3 linked regions of the Arabidopsis thaliana genome follow. The protein of the gene in region 3 interacts with the protein of the main gene of each other region in a pairwise test. Each region holds a gene or a part of one and is shown on either strand. Other genes may lie near its edges.

Region 1 (8,445 bases), on a different chromosome or scaffold from region 3:
ACTATTTAAATATTCTGGTGGTTTGTGTTTAATGAACGGTGGTTATAAATCTTATCAACAAGTTTTTGAACTTAAGCAAATAAAACCACTAATATAGAAATATATATATATATATATATATATATATATATGTGTGTTAAGAACTATATAGGAAAATATTATACGTTTTTTTCAGGGACTATACAACACACTTATCAGATTTCCATTTCACTCATTTGATCTATAACTTTGACATTAACATCTCACATTCTATTATAAAGTATTAACACTGTAATCTTCTTTTTTTTGCTGATTTATTTTAGGAGGTGGTCATATATCTCAACCTTTAGAAAATGTACTTTATATGTCAAATATAAAAATGAGTGTGTATCTATCAAAACGAATACAATTATATTATAATAGAAATAGTTACATAAATCATGGGTTTTAATAATATAACCGAAAGTATATAAATCATCATTATGATTAAATTTTAGTAGGTCTGCCATTATAAAATCGAAATTTATCTTAAATTTAGAACTCTTTCATTATAATTTTTAAAACTTCACACAGTTAATTGAATGTAAAAAAAGAAAATCTAAGACTAAATCACATCTAAAAGTTTTCATTTTTCAAGGAACATTTAACATAAAACGACTATTAATTGATATCATAAATTTTGTCTTTTCTATTTTGAAAATGTTACTTTATGCAATAGATAAACTTAATGTGTAAGCCATCGAAATCGATGAAAAAAAAATTCAAAAACAGGATTTTTTTGTTTTGAAAATCTTCCAAATCTCTATAAACATTATAAATAGCAAAAAAAAAAAGAGAAATATATATATATATATATATATATATATATATATATATGATTCAAAAGATTTTCAAAACAGAAAATATATCTTTTTCGAGTTTATCTCTTTCATCGAGTTCGATGACTATCAACTTAAACATTAAGTTTTTATCTAGTGCATATAGTGATATTTACATAAGAGAAAAACAAATTTTGTGGTATTAATAAATAGTCGGTTTATGTTAAATGTTCCTTAAAAAATAAGTTTTTAAATATAATTTCATCTTAGATTGTCTTTTTTACATTCAATTAAATGTGTGAGTTTTCAAAGATTACAGAAAAATAATCATAAAATCCAAGATGCGTTTTGAATTTTATAACCATGAAATACATATAAACCTATGAAAATTTAATCATAATGATACTCATACACTTTCAGTTATATCTTCAAAAATCATGATTAGTGTGTATAATTGTATTCATTTTGATGGATTCACAATTATTTGTATGTTTGACATACATAATATAAAATATATAAATTCCAAAAGGTTGATATCACCGTTTCCAAAAAATAAACAAGCAAAAAGACAGATTTACGTGATAATACTTCATAATAGGATGCGAGATGTTAGTTTCAAAGTTATAGATCAAATCAGTGAAATGAGATTTTGGTAAGTGTGTTATATAGTTCTTAAAAATCTGGAATCCCGTATCATCTTTTCTTATATAGTTCTTACATCTTAACATATATATTTGTTATTTCTATATTGGTGGTTTTATATTTGCTTGAGTTCATAAACTTCTTGATAAGATTCATAAACCGTCTTTGAAAACAAACCATCAAAATGGTCCCTCTTCTTGTTTCTTTGAAAAGATCATTTCATACAAGCGATATAGACAAAGCATTTAAGAAACAACAAGTTGAGAAGTTTTGTAACACGTACGTTGTTGTAACAAAAAAAAAAAAAAAAAAGAGTAAAGACTTTGCCAAAGTTTTCGAAGACTTTACCTTTGCCATGGTTAAGGAGCCCAAAACGAAGCAAGCAACTGATCCCCGAGTCTCAAGTATTGACTTCGAAAACAAATATTAATATATATAATACACATATATATATATATATATATATATATGTAAAGCATATTAATTGATATGTAAATAACTATTATAAGATTTTAAGAGTAAATAAATAGTATGCCAAAACAATAATTTGAATACTTATACTACTATTTTGAGTTTTTGATTTTCAATTAAACATTCAATGACAAAAACAAAAAGGGAACTAATTGAATTATTGCATCTTATGCATATACTATATTTCATAGATCCAACATTAAAATAAACTAACTGTTATTTTAGACCATTGTTTTCTTTAAAATAATTGTTGCTTTTTGCCCACAGAAATTAATAATGTGTTGTTTTAGGATTTTAGTGTAAATTCTGATAAATAATGTCTAAACTTTCTCTATATAAATTAATGAAAATATGAAATAAATTTTTTCTTCTTAATTCGCTTGAAAATAAAAAAAAATGACATGAATATGGAAAACATCATTGTGAATTTTTTTGTTAGTTAGTCAGTTAAAGTAAAGATTATGGAAGTTTTGTTTTGGTAAACTTACAAAAACAAATATTAATTGTAACAAAAATTGATTTCAAACTCTCTCTCTTTCTCATTTATATAACTTTATTTTTCACAAATCACAATGCACAACTCAAAAAAATTAGAATGTTTAAAGTAGATAATGCAAACAAAAAACTCTCAAATCGATTTGATATTAATTAAATGAATCTCTTGATCTTCAAATTGAGTTACAATCTAACCTTTTCTATTTAGATAAAATGTGAAAATTTATTTTAGAACTTATACTGAACACAGAGACGTAACGAAGAGAAACAGAAAACTAAAAAATATGTTGTAAATACGACAAAAGACTATAAAAGTTAATGACATTCACGAAATTTACACGTTCTAATGGTCGATGACACAAGGAAACTTTCAATGTTGCCACAAGTGAATTGAGATCTCAAGTCAGCCTCCAATACTTCTGAAAGAGCGGTGCTAACCCTCTTAATACAAAATTTATATATCTAAACAAAACACCGTACTAAACCAAACAATCTTAGATTCAATCGCGGTGCTTACAATCTAACTTAGTTATAACAAAATTTATATATCTAAACGAAAACTAAACACCACATTAAACTCAACCATCTTAGATTCAATCAAAACCAAGATTTAATATATTTTATTTTTCATCTAGAAAGAAAAACCAGAAAACCTTTATGTAATGATTCAAGTTTTTTTTTATACCATCACACTAAAAATAAAAAGATAGCATTCAAAATCCAAAAATAAATAAATATTAAAATGATTACATCAACGCTTCACAAGAACATAAATCCATGAAAATGTCACAGCTTTAACACTCTCCTTCTCTATAAATACTCATAACCTCAAACCTGAGATTCCTCATTCCTTAAACCCCTAAACCTCCAAAATTCTCTGAACCTTCACAAAGATCACAAAAATGGAGGTCGAAGGCAAAGGAGGAGAAGCTGGAACCACCACCACAACCGCACCTCGGAGGTTCGCACTTCCGGTGGACGCGGAGAACAAAGCAACAACTTTCCGACTATTCTCAGTCGCTAAACCTCACATGAGAGCTTTCCATCTCTCATGGTTTCAATTCTTTTGCTGCTTCGTCTCCACTTTCGCAGCTCCGCCTCTCCTCCCTGTTATCCGTGAAAATCTTAACCTCACCGCCACCGACATCGGAAACGCCGGAATAGCCTCTGTCTCCGGCGCTGTTTTCGCTCGTATCGTCATGGGCACGGCATGTGATCTTTTCGGTCCACGTCTAGCCTCCGCCGCTTTGACGCTCTCCACCGCTCCCGCCGTCTATTTCACCGCCGGGATAAAGTCTCCGATCGGGTTTATCATGGTGAGATTCTTCGCCGGATTCTCTCTCGCCACTTTCGTCTCGACTCAGTTCTGGATGAGCTCCATGTTCTCTGGACCCGTCGTGGGTTCGGCTAACGGAATCGCCGCCGGGTGGGGTAACCTCGGAGGAGGCGCGACGCAGCTGATCATGCCCATCGTGTTCTCGTTGATTCGTAATATGGGAGCCACCAAGTTCACCGCGTGGAGGATCGCTTTTTTCATCCCCGGTCTCTTTCAGACTCTCTCTGCTTTCGCCGTTCTCTTGTTCGGTCAGGTAACAAACCAATCACACTCACCGGTTCAGTTATTTTGGTTTTTTCAACTAATCCGGTTTTGAGAATTTATCACCAAGTTATTTTTTGTTTTGGTTAAATTTACTTTCTTTGTATAGTCAGTTTATCCTGTTCTATATAAATGATTAAACCGATTCGTTTAGGTGCAAACCCGGTTTATTGATACCGGTTTGGGTCGTCTAGTAGAGTCTTTAGTCGGTTAATCATGGTCGAGTTTCAGTGGATATGGACAATAACTGTTTAATCATCTAAGTTGTGTCTATTACAAGGAATAGTAAAAGGATACATTTGTTTTGTCTTATGTTTGCTATATGTTTTTGGAAATGAGTAGGATCTTCCTGATGGAGATTATTGGGCGATGCATAAATCTGGAGAGAGGGAGAAAGATGATGTGGGGAAAGTGATATCTAATGGAATCAAAAACTATAGGGGATGGATAACAGCATTAGCATATGGCTATTGTTTTGGAGTAGAGCTTACCATTGACAACATCATCGCAGAATATTTCTTCGATAGATTCCATTTAAAGCTCCAGACAGCAGGGATTATAGCAGCGAGTTTTGGACTAGCCAATTTTTTCGCTAGACCTGGAGGAGGAATTTTCTCTGATTTTATGTCGAGACGGTTTGGGATGAGAGGAAGGTTGTGGGCTTGGTGGATTGTGCAAACATCAGGAGGTGTATTATGCGCATGTCTTGGCCAGATTTCTTCCTTGACAGTGTCTATAATTGTTATGCTTGTCTTCTCTGTATTCGTCCAAGCCGCTTGTGGACTTACCTTTGGCGTTGTTCCCTTTATTTCTAGAAGGTAACATACATTTTGGTATTGAGTTGCTTGATTGGTTATTCAACATTTTTGCTTACAAAAGTTTGTTTATGCAGATCTCTTGGGGTGGTATCGGGAATGACTGGTGCGGGAGGCAATGTAGGCGCGGTCTTAACACAGTTGATATTCTTCAAAGGATCGACATACACGAGAGAGACGGGTATAACTCTAATGGGGGTAATGTCAATCGCATGTTCATTACCAATATGCTTGATTTACTTTCCGCAATGGGGAGGTATGTTTTGTGGACCCTCTTCCAAAAAAGTAACTGAAGAAGACTATTATCTCGCCGAATGGAACGATGAAGAGAAAGAAAAGAACTTACATATCGGAAGCCAAAAATTTGCGGAAACCAGCATTAGCGAAAGAGGTCGAGCCACAACGACTCATCCCCAAACTTGATAAATTCATGGTGTTTTTTTTGTTTATATGTATCGACTGTTGACTATGTTTTTGTCTTCTTCTCTTTTGTTTTTCTTAAGAGTTTTCAAGAACTCAATTTCTTGATTTTATTTATAATTGTGTGATAAGTTGTGTATGTTATGTAAAACCTACTACTGGTTACTGCTTTCTTTGTAATGGAAGGCTTTTGTAAATGTTTGTTCATCATGGAATGAACAAACGTATTTTCATTTAGTATACATATTTTGTTTTTTAGTTATCTTTTGTTGATCGTGATAATAATGATTTGACCACAAGAATACAAACCAGTAGATTCATAATTTATTATACACTGTTAGTCTGTTAACCTTGTAAACCAAAAACGTTTCGATATTCATATGCTCTTTTACATCAAACACTCGGTTATTTGTTTTATCCAAATAACTATGACAATTACATAGTTACTAATTGGTACTTTATTTCATTATCAGATATTAACTGAGTTGAAAACAAAATTAGATAGCAGTTGAATTAAACTTTCTATTAGTATTACATCATTAAGTGTTTTTAGGTGACCAAAAAAAACAACAATTACATTCTTCCCACTTTACAAATACTTTTAAAACAAAACAGCTTGTCTTTTATGTCAAAGTTCATTGAAAGATGAACTTACTTTGGTATATTACAGATACCATGAAACCTTAAAATCTTCAATAGATCACATCTTTTTAGCCCAACATCTTTATTTTATTTACTTTTGGGCATATTTAGCCCAACATCTTTGGCAGGGAAGAAAAACTTTGTAATCTTCTCGCTATGCCATTGGGCTAGAAAGGCCATTATGGGCCTATTCTTATTTCATTATGTCTCTAGTGGGCCTACTACTGTCTTTACTATCTTGGCCAATTAGAATAAAATCTTTATTGTATGTTTCCCAATCTACCACATTGTCACAAACACTCACAATAATTGCTCCGCACGTAGCAAGAAGTAGGCCATATGGAGTCCACGACACAAAGATTTGAATGGTCAAAGATATATAACAAAACAAAAGAAATAAAAGAGTTGTCGCATGTTCTTATATAAACGATTTATATATTATAACTGCATTTTACATTATTGTATTGTTTAGCCGAGTCGTGCGAATGGAATATCAAATCGTCATCCTTTTGATTTTGAATGACAATTATACAGTAATGGAGACACACACACAAACATATAAACTATTAAATTCTACTGTGAAACGCTAAGTCAATAAGATTAACTGGTGTAAAGCTGTCTGATTAACAAAAACTTAAGTGTGAAAGCTGTCTTTTACCACTCTTCCAAACACTCGTAAGTCGTACCAAATCTAGTTCTTTATTTATTTTTTAATCGTTCTCTATATTATATAAAAGAGAAAATAAAACTATTAACTTCTATATAATTCATAAACCATTGATTCCTAAAGATTACAAAATCATTGATCTCCTTCTTCTTCTTTAACTTTAAGCACTCTCTTTCTCTCTTTCTCTTTCTCTTGTCGTCGGAGAATGGAGAAAGATAATGACTTCAAGGATCCGTTTCTGGCGTCAACTGAGGAGGAGGAGCTCGACCCGGCGACCCAAAAAGCATTGATGGAGTATCTTGGAGTCGGAAGCAGAGCATCTTCTCTTGTCTCCTTCTCCTCTACCGCCGTCGATATCCCTCCAATCTCCGGTGTCGGAGACTTTGTCAGAGAGTTTAGAATCGAGTCTAGAAAGCTATGGAAACTAGCTGGCCCTGCCATTTTTACAACGATGAGCCAATACTCTCTCGGAGCCGTCACTCAAGTTTTCGCCGGACATATTAGCACTCTTGCTCTTGCCGCCGTCTCCATTGAGAACTCCGTCATCGCCGGCTTTTCATTTGGTATCATGGTACGTTTTACATTGATATGTCTCCCCTGATCACATTTTTCCCTTTCTGTTATGGAACGTATACATTTAACAAATCTTTTGCATCTCTTTATAGACTAAAATAAATGATTTATTATACTTTCAAATCATTTTTCACACCAAATTCAAAGTATTAAGAATCTACAATCGATCAACTTTAATCTTTTTATATAACAACCTATATATATCATTTTGTTGTATATTTGCCATACTATAAAACTAGTTTAATATGATTTTGGTAGTTTGTATGCAAATTTCTTACGGCTATTATTTGTATGTATGGTGCCTTTAGCTTGGAATGGGAAGTGCGTTGGAAACGCTATGCGGACAAGCGTTTGGAGCAGGGAAAGTATCAATGCTTGGCGTTTACTTACAACGCTCGTGGGTTATTCTAAGCGTAACCGCTCTCTTCCTTTCTCTAATCTATATCTTCGCGGCTCCAATCCTGACCTTTATAGGCCAAACCGCTGCAATCTCGGCCATGGCAGGGATTTTCTCCATTTACATGATCCCACAAATCTTTGCCTACGCTATCAACTTCCCAACGGCGAAGTTTTTGCAATCACAAAGCAAGATCATGGTCATGGCTGGAATATCCGGTGTGGTTCTTGTGATCCATAGTTTCTTCACGTGGCTAGTCATGTCTAGGTTACACTGGGGACTTCCTGGTTTAGCTTTAGTGCTTAACACGTCGTGGTGGGTCATCGTTGTTGCACAACTTGTGTATATCTTTAATTGTACGTGTGGAGAGGCTTGGTCTGGATTTACGTGGGAGGCTTTTCACAATTTGTGGGGGTTTGTTAAATTGTCTTTGGCTTCTGCTGCCATGCTCTGGTGAGTGCAAACCTTTTTTCTCTTCCAATTATTTTGGTCCGATTTGATCCAACCCCATTAATGAATTCATATTTTAAATACAATTTATTTACTTTTGTAGTTTGGAGATTTGGTATTTTATGGCACTCGTATTATTTGCTGGATATTTGAAGAATGCTGAAGTCTCCGTAGCTGCACTCTCCATATGGTAAAATTTGTTATATCTCTTAAACTAATTAACATCTTTACAACATTTAAGGTTTACATGATTTGTTATTTGATTCATTTATTTATTATCAGAGAGATTCTCTGAATAAAGACTAGACCCAACGTGCGTAGTAGTCTCTTGTTTTGTTTAATAATCAATGTCCTTAATGTATTAAGAATTCAAAATTTTGAATACTTCCACTGCAAAGAAATTTCTAATGATTTGTTTTCCTTAATTAATGGTGTGTGGAATATGAAGCATGAACATTTTGGGATGGGCAGCTATGGTT
Region 2 (8,120 bases), 4.0 Mb from region 3:
AGATCTACAGATCTCCCGAATCTCCCAGGTAAAAAATTTACTATTTCCTCTTCCACGATTCGTTGATTCTATTATCTCTATCGTATTCTCCACGGTTTGATTTCTTATAGTTTGGATTTGATCTGTTTTCTCAGGGAGATAATTTGAAGATGGTGTCTGACGCTAGCAAGAAGAAGGCAGCTCAGAAGAAAGCTGCTGCCGCCGCTAAAAGAGGTGGTAAAGCTGCTGCTCCATCCAAATCCGCCGCTACTTCTTCCAACGGTGTTGATAGCTTGTCAAGCGGTGTCGATGCTCTTCAAATTTCTGATCGGACTTGTACCGGAGTTCTCTGTTCTCATCCTCAATCTAGAGATATCCGAGTAAGTCCTCTTATCTAGATTTCGTGATTCGATTTGGAAATTTAGATTCGTGTCCTTTGATCTGTGAATATATGTTTGGATAATCCTTGTTTGATTGCTCATACTTTGTATCCTCTGTTTAAAATATGTTGCAGATAGAATCTCTGTCTGTGACGTTTCATGGTTATGACCTTATTGTTGATTCAATGTTGGAGCTTAACTATGGAAGGCGTTATGGTCTCCTTGGGTTGAATGGTTGTGGAAAGTCCACTCTTTTAACTGCAATCGGACGCAGAGAGATACCGATTCCGGATCAAATGGATATCTACCATTTGTCTCACGAGATTGAAGCTACTGACATGTCTTCCCTGGAGGCTGTTGTTAGCTGTGATGAGGAGAGGTTGAGGTTAGAGAAAGAAGTTGAAATTCTTGTACAGCAGGATGATGGAGGCGGAGAGCGTCTTCAATCTATCTATGAGAGGTTAGACGCCATGGATGCAGAAACCGCTGAGAAACGTGCTGCTGAAATTCTGTTTGGACTTGGTTTCGACAAGGAAATGCAGGCGAAGAAGACAAAAGATTTCTCTGGTGGTTGGAGGATGAGAATTGCATTGGCAAGAGCACTCTTCATTATGCCGACAATCCTTTTGCTTGATGAGCCGACTAATCATTTAGGTTGGTAATCTCTCTTCTTTGTACTCGCTTCAGATGGTTTTCCTTAAGTATCGTGTCGCTGATGTTGTTGTTGTCTCTTGGAACAGATTTGGAAGCTTGTGTGTGGCTAGAAGAGAGCCTGAAGAATTTTGATCGCATCCTTGTTGTGGTATCCCACTCACAGGATTTCTTGAATGGAGTGTGTACAAACATCATCCACATGCAGAGCAAACAGCTCAAGTACTACACTGGTAACTTTGATCAGTATTGCCAGACTCGTTCTGAACTTGAAGAGAACCAGATGAAACAATACAGATGGGAGCAGGAGCAGATTTCTCACATGAAGGAGTACATTGCTCGGTTTGGTCACGGTTCAGCCAAACTTGCTCGTCAAGCACAGAGTAAGGAGAAAACATTGGCAAAGATGGAGAGAGGTGGGCTCACTGAAAAGGTTGCTAGAGACAGTGTTCTCGTTTTCCGTTTTGCTGATGTTGGGAAGCTTCCACCGCCAGTGCTTCAGTTTGTTGAAGTGTCTTTTGGTTACACACCGGACTATCTTATTTACAAGAACATTGACTTTGGTGTCGACTTGGACTCGAGGGTTGCCCTTGTGGGACCTAATGGAGCTGGAAAGAGTACACTTTTGAAGCTCATGACTGGTGAATTGCACCCAACTGAAGGAATGGTGCGACGTCACAACCACTTGAAGATTGCTCAGTACCATCAGCATCTGGCTGAGAAGCTAGACTTGGAATTGCCTGCACTTCTCTACATGATGAGGGAGTTCCCGGGTACTGAAGAGGAGAAAATGAGAGCTGCGATTGGTAGGTTTGGTCTAACTGGTAAGGCTCAAGTGATGCCAATGAAGAATCTATCTGACGGACAAAGGAGCAGAGTGATCTTTGCGTGGTTAGCTTATAAGCAGCCTAACATGCTTCTTCTTGATGAGCCTACTAACCATTTGGATATCGAGACAATCGACTCGCTTGCTGAGGCATTGAATGAGTGGGATGGTGGTTTGGTTCTGGTTAGTCACGACTTCAGGTTGATCAACCAAGTGGCTCATGAGATATGGGTTTGCGAGAAACAATGCATCACTAAATGGAATGGTGACATTATGGACTTCAAGAGGCACCTTAAGGCTAAAGCCGGACTTGAAGATTGAAGATAGAGAGTCGAGTCTTCTTCTCTTGATGGAAAATGGAAAAGACTCAGATTGGGGTCACATGCTAAGAGAGAGAGAGGGAAGGCTTTGGTTTTTTTGATGGGTTTGGGAATGGTTTTTAACGAGTTCTAAAGCCACACACTTGAGAGACAGAGAAACCATACTCACTAATCTCTGCATTTCCTTAAGAGGTCAGAGATTCTTTCTATATTAGTATTATCATTATCATGTGCACCTTCTTTTTTTTTCGTTATTGTTGTTGAACGTTTTTTTGAAGGCGAAACAGAGAGAAAAGTAATATTTTTTGGTGGTATTGTAGGATTTTTTTTTTCTGTTTTTTTAAAGACTGAGATGTTGACGATTATGGTATTATATTTAATATTAAAGTGGGAATATTCTCATAATTATATTCGAATATTCTCATAATTATATTCGAATATTCGTTGGAAAGGTGACTCAGATATTCCATCTTTATGTTGATTCCAGTGAAGGAATCTTGAATCAAATTACAGAGTTGCACATAAAATCTCTGGAGTATCTCTTGTAAAATGAGTAGTGTGAGTGGAAAAAAATAACATATTAATCTTCTGAATCAATATTTCGAAAATCTATGTAGTTTATTATTTTCTCATACTCTTCTTACATTCTTTCGATGAGATCCGTTTCTGTGATGTAAAGATCACTCATTCAATTGCTTCTTCCGTGGTCCTTGTCCATAAAGTTTTCTTCATGTGGACTCTCTTAGCATTTCACACACCGTAAACAGAGACTTTTTTTGTTTTTTTCACTTGACATGTAAATCTGATTGAACATAAAGCTTATTGGTGCAGAAAAAAGAGTAGTTGAACATTCTGATGACATTACAATAATTTATACTAAAGTACCAAGCTCATCGATCCTTACCTATCACAGAAAAGGTCTTACTCGGTACATATATGAGTGGAGTATGAAACTATTAAAAAGGGATTTAATGTAAAAGGAAAATCTCTTGTAAGTTTTGTCTTCAAACATGACTTGGAGTTCCGTTCTCCGGCGTTGGAATGTTAGCCAAAGCTACTTTCCGGCCTCTCTCTGACCTACTATTCTCTGCAAATTTGATGCTTCCTTCGTGCAATCCTTGTTGTTTCTCATTCTCCGTCCACTCAGAACCGTAATAATATTCCTCCTGTGATCTTTCTCCATCGGTCGACGGTCTTAAAAACATGCTTCCCCATTGCGGAAAATGTATAAACGCAACTGGGAGTGTGCACAAAACCGCCATAACGCCCATCAATGAGAGTCCCTCAGCTGTACTAAACCTCGCTGATGAGAAGAAAAGCAGTTGAGTCAAACCGGACCCGAAGTTTCCTCCTGCGCCGGTTAGTCCCGATATGAGCCCTAGAGAGCGGCGCGAGACAAAAGGTGCAACTCCGAAGAGGGCTCCGCAAGCTGCTTGTGTACCGATTGAGAAGAGCATCATTGCTAGGATTGCTATGGGAAGTGAACTAGCTCGACCTAGCCAGATACAGAAAAGAGCTCCTACGGTTTGAAAGATCCATAAGGTCCATAACCGGCCTCTCATGCCAAAAACCCGAGCCGCTACATCAGAAGCGTAACCACCGAAGGGACGGGCGATGAAGTTAGCCATTCCAAAGCTGGCTGCTACTATACCAGCTGTTTGAAGCTTAAGGTTAAACCTGATAAATACGTAGAGAACAAGAAAACAAATTAAGGTTATTACCTTGTGACAGAAGTAAGTAAGTTCATCAGTTGGGTTTTAACGAATAAGAAATCGAACCTGTCGTAAAAATATCCGGAGATAACGTTGTTGATAGTTAATTCAATTCCCATGGAAGATCCATAAAGAACGAATAAAATCCATGTTCTGTAGTTCTTCACAGCAAACCAGAAAACCTATAACAAGAAAAACCTTTAGACACTAGAAATTTATTTAACTAAATAAACGAAATAGTTCTTCACGAATTTATTGCAAAACTTCATGAGTATGTTTAATGTTTGCAAGATTCTTTTAATGAGAGCCATATTCTTCTTGGTCTGGATTTGTTATATATTTGAAGATGAGACAGAAATATATATATATAGAAAAGTACCTTGGAGAATTTGTCTTTAGAGACTTGACCACTCTTCTGAAGGGTACTTAGGTTACCGTCAGGGAGATCTTGGCCGAGACTGAGGACGAGAATGCCCATAACAACTTGAAGAAATCCGGGAACGAAGAAAGCTATCCGCCAGGCCATGAACGGAGTGGCTCCGGCAAGTTTGATGACGTGGAAGACCATCGGCATTAGGAGTTGAGTCACTCCACCGCCCATATCACCCCACCCGCCTGCACAGCCGTTCACTAGTCCTATGATCTTACCGTTGAACATAACGCTGGTCCAATACTGGCATGATACAAACGTGGCGAGACAGAATCCGATCATGAACCGGACGCCTAAGTATCCGCTAGGGCCACCCACAAACGACATTGAGAAGACGGTTGGGGCGGTTAGCATGAGGGAGAAGGCAGTCCCATATCGTGCACCGAGGAGATCACAAACCGCTCCCATGGCTAACCTTGAGAAAATGGCACCAGAGACGGATGCGACTCCGGCGTTTCCAATGTCGGTTTTAGTGAGGTCGAGGTTGTCGCGGATGATGGGGACTAATGGTGCTGCCGCGAAGGTGGAGATGAAGCATGTGAAGAATGAGAGCCATCCTAAGTGGAAGGCTCTCATGTGAGGTTTAGCAAAAGAGAGTGGGTTGAACACTTTGGCTCGATGTTCGGAATCAACCGGAAGGGCGAATTTAGCTGTTGGATCGTCTGATTGGACTGTTTGAGACGAAGCATCGACGGAGAAAGAGAAGACTTGTTCTCTTGCTGTAACTCCATGCAAGGAGGTTCCAATGGAGCCTTCTTCATTAGAATGGTTGTGAGTCATTTAAGGCGAGAGTGAGATGAAAGACTCTGAGTGGGAGAGAAGGCTAATGGTCTTTGTTGTGTTTTGTTGGTGTAAGTTGGAGATTAGAGAAATGCAAAGTTTATATAGAGGCCAGAGGGGATACCAATATCATATGGTGGGTAGGGTTAGGTGGGTCCAATAATGAGATTTGAATAAGATAAGTAAAAGTTAATAAGGACTTTACCAATTTGTGAAAATTTTATTATTGTTAGCTGATAATAGCATTTAGTATAGATATGAGTTGTAATTTTGATTAGTAATGATAGAAGGAAAAAATTATTTAAATTTGAGAACTAAACATATTATTCTTTTGTAGCATTTAAGTACGTTTCATACGTACGTGTACCATATTTGGGTTATGAGTTTTGTCTCACACATTTATGAATTGATTCTTGAGTCTTTGATTTGAAGGTTTTGGTTTTAAAATAGGAACCGTGAGGGTTTATCAAGTATTAGTATTTTCTTTTTTCTAAACAAAGTTCAAGCAACTTTTGTAAGGTTGAAAAATTTTCAGTCAGAAAATCAATGTTTGCACTTCTGTTTGACAAATTATAATTTTAAGTGAAATGCAGAAGAAAACTTTATTTCAACTTTGCATAAAGTTTCGTTTGAGAATTAAAAAGTATGGAAAAGAAATCTAAAAATAATATTTATAAATCTATTTGGTATAGTAGCAGCCTGGCAAGTTATATACATCAAAGATAATGACTTTGTGGAATTTCACTAAAATGGCGAAAGAGATACGAATGTTGACAGTTGGCATTGGAAATAGCTAAAAAGCCTAAGAGGCCGTACGTATCAATGAAGGCAAAAATCGTCAAAAAGTCTAATTATTTTTCATTTGTCTCTTGAGGATTCCATGTGGTCGACTCACCAAATGAAATAATTGCTATCTTAAAATAATTTCCTAAAAAAATGCTCTAACGTTTATGAAATTATGGGTTATTCACTTATTCTAAATCTTTCCGCCTTTGATATTCGCATATCCTTACAATGAAGCGTTATGATAAGTTGACTTCCTTATGTTTTTCCTTATAATCATCTATCATCTCAATATAATATATAAGCTATAAAGTCTAAACTCTAAACATAATTCTTTACTAAATATGATTTCTAAGTGTTGTTGTTTCCGGCCATCCGCAAATACTCAAAAGAACTATTCTCTCGAATATTGTTGATGATATTTTTGTAAACTAGAGATATCTTGTATTGTCTGCAATCATCAATAAATTACGGTAAAATAGTCTTATATATATATATATATATTTTTTTTTGGTAAGAAATAATTTTATATTTTGTTATCTCTATACTTATCACATTTTATTTGGGCAACAAACTGTAGATTTTAAATAAAAGTTTAAGTCTTATAGGCTTTAGAATTATCCATCATTAAAAAGGCGAAATCTTTTCTTTTTGTAATGGTTTTAGTTCTATATATATATACTAGATTTTAACCCGCGGTACACCGCGGAAACAATTTATTTTTTAAAGTTACTATACATAAAACTTTGCAAATTGTATTTATCTATAAAATATTTTTATTTTATAGTTTACAATTGTTATTAAGTAACGTCCTGCCAAACCCGTCCCGCCAACCCGTCCCGTAAAAAAACCATTTATTTTATTAATATTGATCTTATTTATGATATTTTTATGAATTATTGTCTAAATATTTTATAATTTTGTAGTAATTAAATGCTATCAAATATCTCTACGGTTTGATGATTATAATCGAATTGTTATAGTCATGGAGAAAAACAATATCAAAAATGATAATTGTGTAGTAATTAAATGATATTAAATATTTTGGAAGTTTAATTTTAGTAACTAACCGTGTAGTTAATGTGGAGAGATTTAGGGAAGATTGTTAAATGTCAAATATTTAATTTGAAGATTTTTTTTCTAATTATCAAAAACAAACATTAAAATCCAGTGGCAGCCATTGTAAATAAGTTCCAACTCTAGAATTTATTTCACAAAATGGCTGCAAAAATGTATATATATATTGTTTTTACATGTAGGGGAAGGCAACTAAAAAAGTCCAATGTTTATAGGTTAAGAATCGAAAATTGTGGAAAGGTCAAACAAAAAAAATTGTCTCTAACTATTTTTCATTACAGGAGTTATTGGCTCATTGACTTCTCAAGTTTATAGAATGTTTATTGCTCAACTTGGTAGACTTCTACTTTTCATGTATACGTAAAACTACAATGCAAATAGAGTCTAGTTCTTCATCAAATTACCATAATTAAAACTTAATTATCTATTATTCATAATACTATTTAGTGGAACTCCTTGTATATAAAAAAAACTTTAACAGACAAAACAAACAATGTTGAGAATTTCTTAACGTTAGCACTAGCAAAAAGCTATACAAAAAAAATATTTCAGTTTTTGTCTTTTCCTTTTTTGTTCGCCCGGTTCAGGTTGTAATTTGTTTGATATAGGGAAAATTACAACGAATTCGACAGATAAAAAGATTCAGATAAGTTTTTAGATTGGATTTTTCAATTTGGTTTGGATTTCGTAGATACGGGCTTTTGAAGTGAACATCACTAGTATATACCTTCAAGTGGATTAATTGAAAAGTAAACGGTGTGAATAGATTGGAGTCAAAAGTTGTAGGTTAAAAACAGATTTACTTTTTATTCAGCGTGAATAATTATGACTCCTTTTTGTAAATTTTCAGAAAGTTTTAGTTGTATAATGTAATAGTCGCGCTCCAATGACGGCAATTTTCACGAAACAACGTGGGATTATTCACCAATAAAGTGGTTGATGCTTATCGTGCTCATATAAAAATTTATGATAGGTGCTAATTATTGACTTGCTTAAATAATAAATATATTAACGATAACTTAATTGACTTATCTGTTAAAGTAGTACTCCTATTTTATAACCGTACAGATCACAGCATTGGGTTCTGTCCTTAGGATGCGGAAGATGTACGGTACGTCTCCTCTCTGACTTAATTCTCATCATTCAAACCATTGAATTTTAACACACACGTCATCTACATAT
Region 3 (8,190 bases):
ACTATTTTTTTGCTTAATACATAAGAATCTTGAGCTTCTCAAACTTTTATGCCATTTGCGTCAACTGCATACCCGGTAAGCAACAATATATGTCCATAATCCTCAGGTGTTGATTAAGGTGGAAGATACACTAACTTTCTTTTAAGGTTGTTATAATCTTTTGTAACAATAATAAGGCGTGCAGTTGTTGGTTAATTTTTGATATTTTTCTTAATTATTTTATCAAATTGATCATCATTACCGTCATCCTCAATATCCTCATATTTACAAATATAAATTTCTTCATGTACACTTGTTATTAGTTATGAAGTTTTATTGAAGTGTTTTAATATGGTATATTAAAAAAAATCATAAATATGTATGTCTCTTTTATTGAAAAGATATGTCGAAAAAAGTCAAATGATGTAGTTTTGGTTTTTGGTGCATCAGTTATAAGTTCATGAGGAACTGGAACTGCATTTCTATTGATGGTACTCATTTAAAGGCCAATTTTAAAGAAATTTTGTTTAGAGTCTCAATGCAAGATGATAATTTTTAGTTATACCCTAATGCTTTTGGCATAGTTGGTTATAAGATAACGCCCTCATAAAACTATTTTATTTATATGTTCTCGTATAATCTATTGCAAATGTTCTATCAATAAATTATCTAGCTATTCATTTGGAATATTACTATTTCAAAAAAACTCTTGAAATATGTTTGAAGTTATTTCCACTTACTACATTGGTGAAATAGTATTATACATAAAATACAATTTTGATTATTTCTTCAGTGAAATCACCTATCACGTATGATTTAATTATTACATAATACATGCATCAAGCGGATAATAGGAAACGATCACATGCTTAATGTCTTCTAATCACTACAACATTCTGACATCGAATCTAATTGGATATGTGTACTACTTGTTAAAAGATAGTTTTAAATATCCAATTGTATGTGTATTTGAGATGATCATCTCTATATATTCTCATATGATGGTTTAATGAGCGACTTGAGCATAGTATTCAATCTGATTGTAATATGACATATTGTGACGTTCAACCTCATCGTAGAAAATATTTTTAACGGTAAAAAAAACTTTCGATTTTTTTTTTTTTTTTAATGGTTCATAATCTATAGATTTAAATAAGTATGAATACATAACTATTGTCGCTTACTTTTTTTATTGTTAGGTATACTTTGAATTTATAAGCGTGATAATGACAGTTTATCTACATTATAACTAAAACATTTGTGCAACTAACTAGAACATATGTTTTTTTTTGGGATCAAAAGAACATTAGTGACATTTAGCTTTATGTTTAAATTATCTAAAATTCTATCGGATCCAACCTAAATATTCTTAAAATCGGTATAAAAGCTACTATTAAGTTAATGATATGTGATGCTAAAATATTTATTTAAATTATGTTAAATATGATGTAAATTTTTAATACAATGTAATTCAAATGTTACCAGTATAATTTTATATCCAACATTGGAACTAGATATTTCTTTAGAAAAATATAGGTTGTATTTTTTTCTTCTACAAATTCTCTTTTTTTTGGTATTTATAATTTGTCTACTATAAATAGATAATATATTTATTTAGTTTGGATTTATTATAGATATCATAAGTTTTTGAATATATCAAATTTAAAAATATTTTTAAATGATTTAAATAAATAATCTATTTAACTGAATTAAACGGGATATATTGCCACATATTCTAATTTACGTCTCAGTATTCTTGATGTTTCAGTTATATCTTGATAATTTTATAACAAAAGCTTGCAAAAACCAATTTTGAATTTTCTTACTTTTTTCAATGTTCAAAAGAAATAGGTATGATAGGTTTTTTTTTTGTTGACCATAAAAGAAGGTACTACCTCCGTACGTAGAACTTAACCATTTGAACGTGGCTTGTTTGGCTCCATGTCTCTTGGGAATGGGTTCTATCACAGTTTTTAGATATGAAAGGTCAATGTATCATTAATGAAAATAATATAAATATTTCGTCATTCGGTAGATGGACTTTTTAATTTGTAATAACCAGCACAACTTATTGATAAGCCATATTGATTATGACCATTTGGTTTTCCAAACAAGTGGCTCGATTTGGTTGATGAGATAGACGGTGGGCAACAACTCCAAATTTTTTTTTTTGTTTTTTTTTTTTGTATACTAGCAGAAAAACGAATTTATAAAACTTTATAGTTACATCAATTAAACAGCAGCATAACAATGAGTTTTGCATGAACGAAATATTAAACTTTTTGACGAAAGCTGTATTCACATTTAAGCCTCAGTATTGTACGTATGCATTTGCGTATTAGTATTATTATAATCACACTCACATTGGCTGACCTCAGTGCATCTATTACTAGTATATAGTTACAAATATAGTAAACTTATTATGTGTCGACATGTTTGACATTTTGAGTAACCCCAAACTAGATCTTGATGACAACCTAATCTTAATGATGATCGGGATCGCTGTCAGCAATTCATCATGCTTATCACTTTTAGCATATCAAGGCTTAGACGACAAACGTTAATGGTGTCTTTCAATCTCTTTACAACTTTTCATATTACAAAGTTCCATTTTGCATTTAAAAGTTATGTTTTGTGACGACAAAAAAAAAAGTCACGTATTGTTATTTTGTTATACTACATTTTTTTTCCAGCTTTTATTATAGGAACCTTTATTATACTCCATTCATTTCTTGAAATTTTAAATTTTTAGGTACTTGTTAGATATTTGTTTAATATTTTGAAAATTTGGATAAATTTTATATCATAATTCCCTATATATAGAATTATTGCTTAGTTATACTTATGATTTCTCTTTGAAAGTAAGAGGTGAAGTATATATACCGTATTTTGAGAATGATTACCACAAATTATGCAAATATCAATCTTTGTGAAAAAAGTGTGTAAGAATATATCAAAAGGTGTATAAAAAATATATAAAGCACACAAACGCATCACCACCGTAGGATTAGTTTTGTTCCATATCAATGGCTTAATTGTACAAACACATAAATAAAAGCATATAAGAAAGAAGAAGTGTGCAACAAGACAAAAGGAATTGGTAAACAAGAAAGTTCAAAGTCAACTTTTTTTGGGTTCAACGTCACAAATACGCAAAGTAAACGACTCATTTGCTTTGCTCTATCTTGGCCTTCCTCTTCTCATTGACAAAGAAGACGACAAGAGCCACGACGGAGAAGACACTGAAACAGATGGAGGCAATATCTAGGGACGCGTGGCGGCCACTGATAGCCTGAACGCTGAAGAGATTGGTTTTCTTGGCATCGTCGGTGCTCTGTCCATAGGCAACTTCATGGCCAATGGCATCAACCGCGTAGGCACGAACGAAGTAGGTTCCGGTGGGGATGTCACGCTCAAGAGTCCAAGTAGTTGATTGAAGTGTTTTGTCATAAGGCTTGGCTATGATCTTGTGTGGGCAGGTCTTGTCTTTGAAGAGCTCGTCATGGGTTTTGCGCCATGGTCGGTCAACTTGGCTAGGTGGAGCGTAGCATAGCTTAACTTTGATGATCTTAAATTCAGCCTCTCTTTTAGACCCAATCGAGCTTAGCGTCCATGTAATGTTCAACGTATCCTTGCCGGCATCCAAAACTAAAGACCAAACATTCAAAATATTAATTCCAACTTATTCTTGTAAATTGATATTAGATCATACTATCATTCATATCACTTAATTCTAAGTAATTCTAATTAATAGGATAAGATCTAATGATGTTGTAATAAACGACTAAAGAGAACTAATGTTTCCAACACTCATAAAAATTTGTCTTAACATTCATAAAGCTTTAAAATCTAACATGGTATTAGAGCAAAATCGCACATTTATAAGGCATGGCTAATGAAGTAGCAAATGATAGATGTTTTGAAGAGAATTATACATACCAACACCTGGTCCTTCTCGGCTGGGTTTAGTGGTGACATCAAGTGCACCTTTGTCCAGCTCTTTGAAGAGTCTTACTTTTTCCGCCCCGTGGATGGATTGGATCAGTGAGCATATGAGAAGTGAAGCAAAGAGGATCTTCTGGATCGCCATGGATATATCCTTGAAACTGAATATCAGAAAAATAAGGCTGAGGAAGAGAAGAGGAATATGCCTTGTGTTTTGCTGACTTTTATGATTGATAAGAAAAGTGGGGTGCACATTTATGTCTTTATATAGTGATTTATGGTAATACTTTTGATCCAAATATCTTGTGGTTTAGCATAAACAATTAATGAGAACAAAGTCAACGGTTTGGTCTGAGATTACCCTTTCGAAGACTTGGGAAGATTGTGTTCCCTCTCTGGCACAAGTGTCTGTGTTGTCTCCGTCCAGCTGAGAGATGGCTCCTAAACATGCCAAAGGATGAGATATGAGTATTTGTTTTATCATTTATCAACTGAATAATTCAGTTTCAGATTCCAAAGAATTCTATATTTCATGGTTACGTCACCTATAAGATACTCTACATATTGTAATTGTATCCTCTTTTTCTATGAATCCTCTAGAAGATATACTAATCGGTTAGAAAATATTTTTTTTTTCAAAAAAGATTGCATGGAATAAGCATAGCACTTTGCTTTAATACATATTTTTTGTGAATAATTTTTATTAGAGAAATATCCTCAATACCACTAAATTAAGTTTTTATTCTAAAAACCTATCACTAGTGTTTTTTTTTCAAAAATACAACTACAAACTGTTAACTCTAAAAATACCATAAAGACTAAAAATGATTTTGTTTAAGGATTTATAATTTAAAAGTTTGAGTTTGGGTTTAGGGTCTTGCTTTCAGGATTTAGGGTTGAACTTTTAAGGTTTATACTCGAATATAAACTTTATAGGATTTAGTGTTTTATAGGTTTAAAGTTTAGTTTTAGTTTTTTTTAGTATTTGAAAAAATATCTTTTAATGGTATTTTTGTAAAAACGTATGTAGTGGTATTAATGAGATTTTTTTTTGTTTGTTTTAAAAGTCAAAATTTTGGAATTATAGGTGTGTCTATCAGAAATATATTTGTAAGACGTGATTTTCCGGCTTAAAAATGAAAATATTGATTATATTTAAATATGTTGATCACAAAGTCAAACTATTTTAAATATTTTAACTTGGTCACAAAGTTTAAACTGTTTGAACTATTTTAATTATATATATTAAAAATGAATTTTAAGAGCTCGTGGATTATGGTAAAATTGGATAATTAGAGGGTTGATGTTTGTAGGTCTGTGATCATTCAAAAAGTTGATCTACCAAAACATGCAAAATATTTTAGTTTAATACATGGAGTAATATTAGATGGGTTATTCCGAACACAAATATAGATTGCATTTATATGTAAGAAAAAAACAATCGTAAATTCAATTTAAAAACTCTATAATCAGCCCGCATAATTAACTCAACCCTCACATGTTAAAGAAAAAGATAAGAAGACCCTCTATATGACTTGATACGCTTTATCACTGTCTCTCACGACTCTCTATCTTCCAGTGAGCAGTCTCCAACAATGGCGTTTCCTAAGTCACTTTTGTTTCTTTTACTCGTACCTCTTCTCTGTTATTTTACACTGATAACAAATAAGGTTCTTCCTCAGGTAACCGTTCACTGGAATTTCATATGAAGTTATGTGTCTTTGTTTTGTTTCTGAGAAATTCGGATAGAAGTTGAATTTTTTAGGGTTTAATATATTTGGCACAAGAGAGACTTTTGAGCTTCCGTTCTCTGTTTCTGGAAATCACTTTGACGTTTTGTCTCTTTCCAAAGTTGGAAAGAGTTAACAATTACTCAAGCTGCATCATCTTTGATGTGGTTGGATCTCTTCAAGTGATATTTTTAATTAATCTTTGGTTCATGTATTCAAAATTGTTATGTATAGAAGAAACTTATTTACACTTTTGTTGCTGTTGATGCTTTTTTATTTAGACTGAGAATCCAGTGAAGCAGAAGGAACGGCTTATGAACTTCAGAAACAGGTTGGTGTTTTGTAGTTTGAGGTGTGTATTTCCTTCTTGTTTTGTTACCTCAATTTAGTTCTGCATTGGCAGATACTTGAACTACGAGAAGAAGTGGAAATGCAACGCAAGAGAAGTCTGGAAGTGGAAACTCGAGCTGAAATCGCAGAAAAGAAAGTCGCGGAACTTGGCTCAAAGCTTGAAAATGTAAGAAACATGGTGTCCCTTGGATCTGATGTATGTACATATTCAAAAGCTTTCTTTACTTTTTTTTTACTTGTGTTCAGATCGATGGGAAGTTGCTTGGTCTAAACCTAAATAAAACTCAGGTAACTCTATAAGAAGGTTCATAATTAACATCGATAAAATTGTCATAGTGATCAATCTTAAATGATCCTCTTTTTTTTTATTATGGTTGCAAGCATATATAGTGACTCTGCGGCAACAAGATCTTAGCCAAACTCTTCAAAAGGTTTTATTCTGAAAGTTTTTGGTTTTCGTTATAAGACAAGTCATTATTGCTTTATTCTTATTAACCTTTGAATTCTTCTCTTAGATATCACAGAAATGGATTCCAAGCATCAAAGATGTGTATGTGACATTAACCATTTATCTCCAACCAAAAATTCAATACTTAACCGATAAGTCCATCGAGGTGTTACATACATGTAAGCAGGCTTTTGACCCCACATTTCACCCAACCATTCGACGTTTCCTACGACTATCTTGAGGTTAATATGTTTCCATCTTTATTCATTATGTCTGATTCTCTTTTGACATTGCACTATACATTGTGACCATTGTTACTTGTTTTTCTAGGTAAGCCGAGTTATGACAATATGGAAACCACACTTTGAGAAAATACAAGTTGCCTTAGAGGCATATACTGAAAACGTAAGACATGGCTTCGAAAAGTTGGTTAACTGGACAAAATCTTTGGGAGGACAAAAGTAATATCTATTTTCTTGTTTGGTTTTTACGGCTACCAGCAATTGCCGGGTGGTTTCTTTCCCATTTTTTTTTAGTAATTGGGATGGGAGACGCTCTCTTTAATCATTTTTCGTATTTTTTTTTTCTTATTTTGGATGGTGATGGTGTTACCAGATTCAAAATCAGAAGATTCATACCACCGATGTCTTCATCCAGTGTCATGTTGATTCGTTTGAATCGTACTATATTCATAAATATAAAGTTTGTTTTCGGTGGTCTCACTCACCAGCGCCATATATGATTCTCAACCGACGGATTTTCTCCTAACGGTTTGGCTAGAAGTCATTTGGATATTTGATCCGTGAATCAATAACCAAATATGAATTTGACCTCTGAGATAACTTCTCATTTCTAGTTTTCTAATTTCATCCCTACGCTAAATGCACCAATTGTCCCTTATTTCGTGAAGCACGCGACACATGCTTTGGCTAAGCCACATAACCTACACTTGGTAGCATTTGAGATATCAAACTTTGGTTTTCAAAAGTTCGACATCTTGTGATACTAATTGGTCGAAAAAAAATCACAACCAAAACGATTAAAAAAAAAAGTTGAAAATGAAGAGTTGACTTCTTTAATCCTCGAGTCTTGATAATAGAAGAGATAGAAAAATAGAAAACGATAAATTTAACAAAACTAAAACTTTCTCATTTAGGGAACATGAGCCTCTTTAGGAAACTTTTTCTTTACGTCTACTTTTAAATTCATTACAATTACATAACTATTTATTTATATAAATGAACTTCTTGCTAAATTCATATGGTAGGGAGGATATTATTACATGAATAATTTGAGTGATGTCTACCAAATCTCTGGTCCTAAAACCACTCTGTGATTTCAAGGTTAATAACATTGATTGAAGCAGAAAAACAAACCTTTTCGTTTGTCTTCACTTTTGGCCTTTGGAGTTTCCCCACATTCATCAAGCTTAGCCATCAAAGAGCTAGTTCCAGGAGAATCCGGTGGCAATAGCGTGTTCTTCGAAGCAAGAATCCGTTGTGGAATAGCGGATATCGGAGATCCAACTTTAGAGAGATAGTTAAGAAGTAACTCAATGATATGCGTGAAGTTGGGCCGAGCATTCGGATCCTCATTCCAACATGATGTTACAATGTCGCCCAACTCCTCCGGTAAGCTCTCCGCGCTTGGTCTCACATTCTGTATAAGAAACATGTCAAAACAAAGAGAATAAAGTTCAGCGAAAATCAAAAGCAAAACAAGACAGTGTTACACACT

Evidence for each region.
Region 1: the proteins of WR3 (region 3) and NRT2.5 interact in a two-hybrid assay, tested with the Arabidopsis thaliana proteins (one study listed by BioGRID).
Region 2: the proteins of WR3 (region 3) and NRT2.3 interact in a two-hybrid assay, tested with the Arabidopsis thaliana proteins (one study listed by BioGRID).

The regions. Positions count from the first base shown.
Region 1 is NC_003070.9:4,413,098-4,421,542, forward strand, and holds NRT2.5 (nitrate transporter2.5), read left to right. Parts: upstream 1-3,217; 5' UTR 3,218-3,307; coding exon 3,308-3,994; intron 3,995-4,344; coding exon 4,345-4,820; intron 4,821-4,894; coding exon 4,895-5,240; 3' UTR 5,241-5,493; downstream 5,494-8,445. Other genes in the region: RSH2 (root hair specific 2), read left to right, coding at 6,752-7,117, 7,428-7,969, 8,070-8,156, 8,415-8,445. UniProt on the Arabidopsis thaliana protein: Nitrate transporter involved in the constitutive high-affinity transport system (cHATS) under long-term N starvation conditions.
Region 2 is NC_003076.8:24,447,797-24,455,916, reverse strand, and holds NRT2.3 (nitrate transporter 2.3), read right to left. Parts: upstream 5,173-8,120; 5' UTR 5,079-5,172; coding exon 4,248-5,078; intron 4,051-4,247; coding exon 3,935-4,050; intron 3,834-3,934; coding exon 3,161-3,833; 3' UTR 2,953-3,160; downstream 1-2,952. Other genes in the region: ABCF1 (ABC transporter family protein), read left to right, coding at 150-359, 494-1,013, 1,100-2,157. UniProt on the Arabidopsis thaliana protein: Involved in high-affinity nitrate transport. Acts as a dual component transporter with NTR3.1.
Region 3 is NC_003076.8:20,432,491-20,440,680, reverse strand, and holds WR3 (nitrate transmembrane transporter), read right to left. Parts: upstream 4,502-8,190; 5' UTR 4,374-4,501; coding exon 4,372-4,373; exon of another isoform or gene 4,286-4,371; intron 4,256-4,285; exon of another isoform or gene 4,070-4,255; coding exon of another isoform or gene 4,068-4,069; coding exon 3,919-4,067; intron 3,628-3,918; coding exon 3,146-3,627; 3' UTR 2,955-3,145; downstream 1-2,954. Other genes in the region: AT5G50180 (Protein kinase superfamily protein), read right to left, coding at 7,798-8,112, 8,190-8,190. UniProt on the Arabidopsis thaliana protein: Acts as a dual component transporter with NTR2.1. Required for high-affinity nitrate transport. Acts as a repressor of lateral root initiation. May be involved in targeting NRT2 proteins to the plasma membrane.